Oryctolagus cuniculus: one gene and its partner. The protein of the gene in region 1 interacts with the protein of each later gene in a pairwise test. Links are inferred from orthologs where the notes say so. Each region holds a gene or a part of one and is shown on either strand. Other genes may lie near its edges.

Region 1 (4,493 bases):
TGTATGTCCTGTTTCTCCTTTAACAGCGAAATGTCTCTCAGATCCTGCAGCTGCTGCTTCAAATCGGCTTGTATCTTTTTCTTCTGCATGAGCTCTGCTTTAAGCACTGCAGACTTCTTGGCATATCTGGCGGCTAACTTCTGTCTCCCCCTTTTAATCTCTCGACTTTCCTGTATGTACTCCGTCCACAGCTTCACGGGCTCCTTCGCCAGCTCTTCCGTTTTCTTGGTCAGGTACTCCAGAAAGAACCTGTTTTCCGCCTGGAAGTGTAGCTCCTCCTCGTGCAGCTGCCTGGTGTCCTCCAGTAACAGCTGCTGCTGGGCTCGGGCTGCTTTAATCTGCGTGTCCAGCTCTCGCACCTTCGCCATTCTTCTTCTGATGCGCATCTCCGCACTTGTTAGCTTCTGGGGCTGGAGCAGATTATTTATTAGACTGAGGTACGACGGAGGGGAACTCCTGGGACCTTCGGCAAACCTGAAGGGAGAGCCCATGAGACGTGCCTCTGTCAGTTCTTAATGCAAATTTAAGCAATCATAAAAGATGCACAATTGTCCTTAATTAATACAGCGACTATTTACTTATTTGAAAGGCAGATTTCCCATCTGCTGGTTCACTTCCCAAATACCTGCCACAGCTGGGGCTCCATCCGCATCTCCCACGTGGGTGGCAGGGACCCAAGTATCTGGGCCACCAACTGCTGCCTCCCAGGCGCATTGCAGGAAGCTAGACTGGACGTGGAGTTGGAACTTGATCCCAGGCATTCAGATACGGAATGCTGGTGTCCCAAGTGGCAGCTCAACAAGTATTTTGGAGACCTACTACGTTCCAAACACTCTGCAAGCCACGGGAAATACAACCAGGGTTGAAGATGCTGGGGGTACCGCCGACAATTTGCAATAGGCATTCCCTGCAACCCCGCGGCGTAGTGTCCGTTTTAAAGAACAAGAAACCAGACGGCTGACCAGTGGCAGCGCCTGGGTATGAAACCCAGATCGTCGGACGCGGGACGGTGATGGGGAGCGGGGATACTTCTCGGGCTCCTTCATCCTCTTTCCGTGGCCGCACTCACTTGCTCCTGGAATCCAGCTGTTGACAGCGGTAGCTGCGCAGTTCTCGGAGGGTGGTCGCCGAGGAGCGCGCGCTGACGTCGGGGGTCGTGAAGGCGGAAAGGTCTTGCAGCTGCTCAGTCTGCGGCTCGACGGGTCTCCGCGCTGCCCAGCACCCCCAAGCGTCCCATTTAGCCCCCGCCCCGGTCAGCCCAGCCCTGAGCTGTTTAATCTCCTCGGGTGCCAAACAAGCTCTAGCAGGCGGCAGACCAGCGTCTTCGGTCCTAGCTCTTTGGGACCCCAAAATGAGACGTACGCCCCTCTTTTTCGTGTGGTGGGGGTTCGGCCCTTGGGAGCCCATCTCGTCTCCCGCTCCGAGGAGCCAGCGACGGGCAGTGCTCCTTTTTCGGCTCCGCTAGCCCTCTCCTCTCGCTTCTCTGCTCCCCTCACTTCTCTCCCGGCGTCACTAGCCCGCCCGCAGCAGAAACTCGGCACCCGCTGGCCGGCGCCTCTCGGCGGCGTTCGACTCTATTCTCCGCCCAATCTAGAACGTCGCGGAGGCCTCTCTAGCCACGCCGCGCCTCTGTGGTGAGGGGCGGGGCCTGAGCAAAGATGGCGGCGCTCGCGGCTGCGGCGGAGCCCCAGGCGTCCGGGGGTCCTCGGCCCCCCGTGTGCCTCTTGGTGTTGGGGATGGCGGGATCCGGGAAAACCACCTTTGTCCAGGTGACGCACACTGCGCGGGCGGGGTAGGGCAGCGCGAGAGGTGGTGGCGGGCAGAAGGCCAGGGAGAAAGCGACGGAAGTCCGTGGGGAGTTGGAGGACACCGGCGCGTGGTTTTCAGGGACTTCACCGAACTCCGGCTGCTTCGTGGGCTGAGGCATAGCGGACCCGCGCCTGTGTTCATTGAAGCCCTCTTCTGTGCACACTTGGTTCGACTTACCACGTTGTGTTGGAACTGTTTGCTGGGGAAGTTGCCAGCCTCTCGAAGGCAGACTCACAAGGCATGGAGTAGATAGATTCGGTGTTAACCCATTGGGTTTCGGTGAAGATTTGCGAAAAAAGTTATTTCTGGGGCCCCTCTCATGTTCCAGGCATGGGGGATACGGAGAAAATGCGGTTGACAAGGTTTTTACTTTCATGGAGGAGATAGAAAGATACTCGCCATATGGGTTTGCAATACAAGTTAATAAGTGGGCAAGAGTAGGGGAGGCTCTGTCAGGTGAGTGATAAGGAAAAGTAGCGTTTGAGCCGAGATTTGATGTTGGAAGCAGGGTGGATATTTCGGGTGGCTGGAGGGCGGTGGGTGAAGGAGTGGAAATGCCCTTCCTGATCACCCCCTCCTCCTCTCCCTCCCCCTCCCATCTTCCTGTCTGCAGCGGCTCACTGGGCACTTGCACAGCCAAGGTTCCCCGCCCTATGTGATCAATCTGGACCCGGCTGTGCACGAAGTCCCCTTTCCTGCCAACATTGGTGAGTACACTGTGCCCTAACGCAGAGAGGGGAACGCCTCCAGCCTGCCAGTCTTCAGGGACTTTTTTTATTTTCTGAACTTCGTACTTTTATCTCTCTTGGATGTTCTTCAGTCCCTAAACAGGCTTCTTTATAAAACATTCTCCTTTTTAAACACTGGCCTTTATCTAACGCCCAGGCTAAAGCTAGGAGCCAGGAACTCCATGCTGGCCTCCCATGTGGTGGCGGGGACCTAAGTGCTTGAGCCATCATCTGCTACCTTTTAGGTTGCTCATTAGCAGGAAACTGGATTGGAGGTAGAGGTGGGACTTGATCCCAGGCCCTTCCATATGGGGGGTACTTCCATATGTAGCACAGTCCCTTACCTGCTGCCCCACAGTGCCTGTGTCCCCCACCCCCAAGCTTTTTATACCCCAAATACAATAAAAGACCACATATTAAGAGGCAGAGATCATGGGGCTGGTACCGTGGCTCACTTGGTTAATCCTCCACCTGCGGCGCAGGCATCCCATTTGGGTACTGGGTTCTAGTCCCGGTTGCTCCTCTTCCATTCCAGCTCTCTGCTGTGGCCCGGGAGGGCAGTGGAGGATGGCCCAAGTGCTTGGGCCCCTGCACTTGTGTGGGAGACCAGGAGGAAGCACCTGGCTCCTGGCTTAGGATCAGCGCTGTGAACCAACGGCCAAGGAAGACCTTTCTCTGTGTCTCTCTCTCTCACTTTCCACTCTGCCTGTAAAAAAAAAAAAAAAAAAAAAAAAAAAGTTGATGGCAGAAGTCTACAGACGGATGGATAGGTTAAGTAGATTTTACTAGACAGATTTAAACCCACCCACCCTCCCTCTTTAATCTGAGAGACAGAGACAGACAGAGCTCCCATCTGCCAGCTCACTTTTAAATGCCTGCAAGGGTGAGTGAGCCGGCAGATGGAACTTCTCTCGCTTTCTCTCTCTCCCTCTTTCTCTGTAGCTCCACCTTTCAAATGAATTTTTTTAAGTAAATGCCTGCAGGGGCCTAGGATCAGGTGCCAACGCCAGGACCCAGGAATCAGTCCAGGTCTCCCACCTGATGGCAAGGCCAACACCGGTACCTCCCAGAGCGCCTGCCAGCAGGAAGCTGGAATCGGGCATGGAGCAAGGGTCTGCACGCCAGCACTCCGACATGGGACACAGGTGTCCCAACTGGTGGCCTAACCACTAGGCCAAGCATCCACCTCTTAATTCCTTTTTAAAAACTTTCTCTGTGTCACATTTTTCATCAGTGTGCAATTAGTAAGACACAAGCTTTAAAATTTTAGCCCTCTTTTTCCGTACAGTCACTAATGATTTAAGTTGTGTAGAACTTCCACCTTGTCTCAGACATTCCTCCCATAACTTGAGAGCTCCCAGCTCTCATTCTTCAAGGCTGATTTTCGTTTCTTGCTGGTAAGGAAGATGCTGATGGAAAACTTTTTACCCTTCTGATTTTTTTTTCCCTCACAGTCTCGCTTCTTTCTTCTATAGAAATTCAGTGATCTTAGGTGCAAACTTCAGAGAACAGTGTGAAAAGTAACTCAGATACCGAGAGAGAAACTTACTTTTTCCCTCAGTGGAAACAGAGATGACTTGAGAAGGCTCTTGGCTCAGGACATTAAGGGCGGTGGGGTGGGTGTCAAATCATATTGTTATGTATTAAATGCAATTATTTTGCCCCCCCCCTCAGATATTCGTGACACTGTGAAGTATAAAGAAGTCATGAAACAGTATCCTTTGCTATATCTACTTCAGTGTTGTCTCGCGGCTGGCTAGTTTCTGTCTGTGTGGTGTTTTTGCCTTTCCTTGTGAAAGACACAAAAACATAGATTGTGCCTTGAATAATTTTCATTATAAATTTCATAATTTATTAGGAGTATGCAAGGTGAATGTGGAAGAGATGTTGTAGGTTATCGGAAACACTGTTTCCACTTCTGGTTTCAGCTTTCTTACCATCTCCACAGACTGCAGG
Region 2 (4,725 bases), on another chromosome or scaffold:
ATCCAGACCAGATTGTTGTAGCTTGTTTTTAAGATTTATTAGCCGGCGCCGCGGCTCACTAGGCTAATCCTCCACCTAGCGGCGCCGGCACACCGGGTTCTAGTCCCGGTCGGGGCGCCGGATTCTGTCCCGGTTGCCCCTCTTCCAGGCCAGCTCTCTGCTGTGGCCAGGGAGTGCAGTGGAGGATGGCCCAAGTGCTTGGGCCCTGCACCCCATGGGAGACCAGGAAAAGCACCTGGCTCCTGGCTCCTGCCATTGGATCAGCGCGGTGCGCCGGCCGCGGCGGCCATTGGTGGGTGAACCAACGGCAAAGGAAGACCTTTCTCTCTGTCTCTCTCTCACTGTCCACTCTGCCTGTCAAAAAAAAAAAAAAAAAAAAAAAAAAAAGATTTATTTATGGCTGGCTCCGCGGCTCACCAGGCTAATCCTCCGCCTTGCGGCGCCAGCACACCGGGTTCTAGTCCCGGTCGGGGCACCGGATTCTGTCCGGGTTGCCGTTGCCCCTCTTCTAGTCCAGCTCTCTGCTGTGGCCAGGGAGTGCAGTGGAGGATGGCCCAAGTGCTTGGGCCCTGCACCCCATGGGAGACCAGGATAAGTACCTGGCTCCTGCCATCGGATCAGCACGGTGCGCCTGCCACAGCGCACCAGCCGTGGCAGCCATTGGAGGGTGAACCAATGGCAAAAGGAAGACCTTTCTCTCTGTCTCTCTCTCTCTCTCACTGTCCACTCTGCCTGTCAAAAATTAAAAAAAAAAAAAGATTTATTTATTTAATTTGCAAGTGAGAGTTAGAGAGAGAGAGAGAGAGAGAGAGATTGAGACCTGCCATCTGCTGGTTCACGTGGCCACAACAGCCAGGGCTGGGCCAGGTGCAGCCAGGAGCCAGAAGCTTCGGGTCTCCCACGTGGGTGCAGGGGCCCAGGCAGTTGGGCCATCCCCCGCTGCTTTCCCAGGTGCGTTAGCAGGGGGCCGTGAGCCTGGGCCCACGTGGGATGCCGGCATGGCAGGCGGTGGCCTCACCCGCACCCACGGTGCGGCCCTATTCCCTGCGCTCCGGCCCTGTGACGGGGCTGAGAGAGAGCGGCCCTCTCACGGGGAGCCTTTCTCATCCAGGTACCACGGAGAGAAGCTACAGCCTTTTGGGCAGCAGAAGAGGCCCCGCGGCACCGGCCTGGGGCTCATTTCCACCATCTACGACGAGCCCCTACCTCAGGACCAGGGCGAGGCACTGCTGCGCCGCCAGCCAGCCACCAGCATGAAGTTTCGGACAGACCTCGCCTTCGTGAGGGCGGCCGGCTGCGCCGAGCCCGAGTGACTGCGCCGCCGTGCGGGAGCAGCCGAAGCCCCCTCTCCGCCTTCCGGATTTTAAGGCTTGACGAGCGGTGCTCGTGGGTCTGCCAGGCCCCGGCCCGGCCCCCAGCGCTCTGAGACGCTGGGCTGTCCGGAGTGACCTACGCGCCTGGGAAGAGGAGCGCGCTCCTGGTGCTCTCGGGACGGTCGGGGGCCTGACTGGCCGGCACCGGGCGGCGGCGAGTCCGCGGGAGACGCCCCAGGCCTGCGATGTGATGGGAGAATAAAGTGTACCGACGCACCCCCCTCTCTTATCTGGGGCCTGGAGAAGGCCGGGAAATGACAAGAGGCGTTTCCGCTCCCAGGAAGAAATGCGTTTGCGTGGCCACGCCCTTCCACCGACTACGTCACCGGGTTTCGGGCGGGGCTTCCGCCCCCAGGGCCCGCGGCTTCCGGCGCTGTCCGGAAGTCGAGGGCCGATCGGGTAGTACCGGGTCATTTTCTCCCTTTGCGTACCGCTTGGTCTCTGCTGTTGTGTGGTACGAGACACTTGTCCTTCCCCGTCAGCCTCCAGCTAACTGCAGGCCAGTAGGTCTTGTCCCCGCCGTCGGTCTTTCCTCCTGCGCGGCTGACTGTCCTGTTTCCCCACTGATTCGGCTTGCCCCGCGCCTGGCCGCGTGCGCCCATGGCAGAGGCCGCTCCCGCCACCGCTTTCGGGCAGGCGGTGATCGGCCCGCCGGGCTCGGGGAAGACCACCTACTGTCTGGGCATGAGTGAATTCCTGCGCGCGCTGGGCCGGCGCGTGGCGGTGGTGAACCTGGACCCGGCCAACGAGGGGCTGCCGTACGAGTGCGCCGTGGACGTGGGCGAGCTGGTGGGGCTGGGCGACGTGATGGACGCGCTGCGGCTGGGGCCCAACGGCGGCCTCCTCTACTGCATGGAGTACCTGGAAGCCAACCTGGACTGGCTGCGTGCCAAGCTCGACCCTCTCCGCGGTCACTACTTCCTCTTCGATTGCCCGGGCCAGGTGGAGCTGTGCACGCACCATGGCGCTCTGCGCAACATCTTCTCCCAGATGGCACAGTGGGACCTCAGGGTGCGTCTCGGGCCAGGGAGACCCATTTGCAGAACTGAGAGAGGGAGGAGGACAGATGCCACGCCCCCATGTCACACAGCGAGGTAGGGGCTGAGCCTGACTCTTCGGAGTAATATAGATGGGAGTTCAAATCCTGGCTGTGCCACTGACTCGCTGTGTGGCCTGGGAGAGTCGGTTCATCTCTCTGAACCTCAGTTTCTTATTTGTTAAATGGACGTGTGTGTTCTCGAGTTGGCATTTTTGGGAGTAAGGAGGGATTTTGTAAAAAGTGACATGGTGAGTGTTTTAAGTCGGTTGGCAGAAGTGAAAGAATGAAATCAGATGCGGTGGGATTTGAGCCTGCTGCCCACCGGAAGGCGCTGGTGCAAGGCATCTTGTAGGAAGAGTGCCCCTTATGTCCTGGGAGAAGGAAATGAGGGTGGCATTAGAACAAAACAGAAAGAGGAGGAGACTGAAAGGGACAGCTTACGCCGTCTCGAGCGCCCGGCCTGATGGGGGAGACTTGGGCTCTGAGGGTCCCGTGTCTTCCGCTTCCAGCTGACGGCTGTGCACCTCGTGGATTCTCACTACTGCACAGACCCAGCCAAGTTCATTTCGGTACTGTGTACCTCCCTGGCCACCATGCTGCACGTGGAGCTGCCTCACGTCAACCTCCTCTCCAAGATGGACCTCATCGAGCACTACGGGAAGCTGGGTAAGACCTCCCGCCCCGGGCGTGCAAAGGCGCAAGCCGCTGCAGCCGGCCAGGCTGAGGCCGAGGTCTCAGCAGAGGGAGGCTGCCTCGGGCGGGCCGCGCAGGCCTTGTGATGGTAACCACAGGCAGGTCCTGATCTGGCCCGTTTCTGTCACTCTGTGCCAGATACCGTTGTAGATTCTGGAGACGAGAGCTGCGGTTGGTGACGTGGGTGTGAAGGAATTAAAGCAAGGTGACCTGACAGCGGCAGTGAGTGGGGGCTGAGCGGTATCTGACGGCTCTGGGGCAGTCGCTTCTGAGCTGAGGCCTGAGTGTCGAGAAGGAGCCAGTGGAGGGACAGATAGACATAAAGGCCTTGTCTTGGTTTGGGCTGCTGCACCCAAAATACCGTAGACCAGCTGGGTTCAGCCACATTTATTTCTAACGGTTTTGGAAGCCAGGAAATTCTGCATGAGGCTCTGGCAGATCTGGAGTCCGATGAATGCCTGCTTCGGATAAATTATCGGAAGTGAGATTGTTGAGTCAAGGTATGGCAGTGTGCGTGTGCGTGTAGGTAGGAGCCTGCTGCACGTTGACAGCTGTTTTCTGAAATGGCTGTGCTAATTTACTGTGCCGTGTGCAGGATGCTGCACCAGAAGAAAATACTGTGGCAGTCCTCAGACTTCAGCCTGATGCCAGCTGCCCCGACACTGGTTTCTCTCCTTAGCCTTCAACCTGGACTACTACACAGAGGTCCTGGACCTCTCCTACCTGCTCGACCACCTGGCTTCTGACCCTTTCTTCCGCCACTACCGCCAGCTCAATGAGAAGCTGGTGCAGCTCATCGAAGACTACAGCCTGGTCTCCTTTATCCCTCTGAACATCCAGGTACTGGGCACTAGCAGGCCTCTTCCCCTGCTGTCTGGCTGTGCTTGAGACTCCCCAAGCCAGGGGCACAGGAAGCTGTGCAGACAGTGGTCTTTGTCCTGGCTTGGACTGTCACAGGGTCCTCTTGGTTTTGGTGGGAAAGGCTGTGGTGGGCAGGATTCCAGTAAAGAGAGTGGCCCACGTTCTCACCTGATCTCTTCTGGAGTCCTGGGTCCCCTCCATACACGTCCTCCTCGGTGTGAAAAAAGGTGGGTTCAGGAAGCCCTCAGCGAGACACTTGTCCTCGTCCAGGGCGTGTCTGTCAGGCCCGTCAGCTGGGCAGGTGCCCAAACCCTGTGCCTCTTACCTTGCACCCTGCAGAGAGCGCCTGGGAGAGACAGGTACTTTGTAGATTCCTTTCCTTGAACTGACTTGCCTCTACCCTTTCTCTTGTTTTTATTTATTTATTTATTTGAAAGGCAAAAAAGAGCTCAGATCTGCGGATTCATTCTCCATTTGCTAAAAACAGCTGGGGCTGGGTCAGGCCAAAGCCAAGAACTGGAATTCAGTCCAGTTTTCTACATGGATAGCAGGAGCCCAACTGCTTGAGCCATCACCTGCTGCCTCCCAGAGTGTGCATTAGCAAGAAGCTGGAATTGGTCACAGAGCCGGGCCTCAAACCCAGGCACCTAATATGAGAGGCTGGCATCTCAAGCAGCACCTTTTGTTTTGTTTTGTTTTTATAAGATTTACTTATTTATTTGAAGTGCAGGGTTACAGAGAGAGAGAGGTCTTCTCCCC

What was found.
Region 2: the proteins of GPN1 (region 1) and GPN2 interact in binary tests that used the Homo sapiens proteins (3 or more experiments, as listed by UniProt). The link is inferred for Oryctolagus cuniculus from reciprocal best matches to the Homo sapiens genes GPN1 and GPN2.

What each region holds. Positions count from the first base shown.
Region 1 is NC_091433.1:175,377,476-175,381,968, reverse strand, and holds the start of GPN1 (GPN-loop GTPase 1), read left to right. Parts: upstream 1-1,612; 5' UTR 1,613-1,658; coding exon 1,659-1,769; intron 1,770-2,422; coding exon 2,423-2,516; intron 2,517-4,211; coding exon 4,212-4,251; intron 4,252-4,493. Other genes in the region: CCDC121 (coiled-coil domain-containing protein 121), read right to left, coding at 1-474, 1,070-1,407. UniProt on the Homo sapiens protein: Small GTPase required for proper nuclear import of RNA polymerase II (RNAPII). May act at an RNAP assembly step prior to nuclear import.
Region 2 is NC_091438.1:144,618,926-144,623,650, forward strand, and holds the start of GPN2 (GPN-loop GTPase 2), read left to right. Parts: upstream 1-1,736; 5' UTR 1,737-1,973; coding exon 1,974-2,384; intron 2,385-2,921; coding exon 2,922-3,078; intron 3,079-3,784; coding exon 3,785-3,945; intron 3,946-4,725. Other genes in the region: GPATCH3 (G patch domain-containing protein 3), read left to right, coding at 1,112-1,313. UniProt on the Homo sapiens protein: Small GTPase required for proper localization of RNA polymerase II and III (RNAPII and RNAPIII). May act at an RNAP assembly step prior to nuclear import.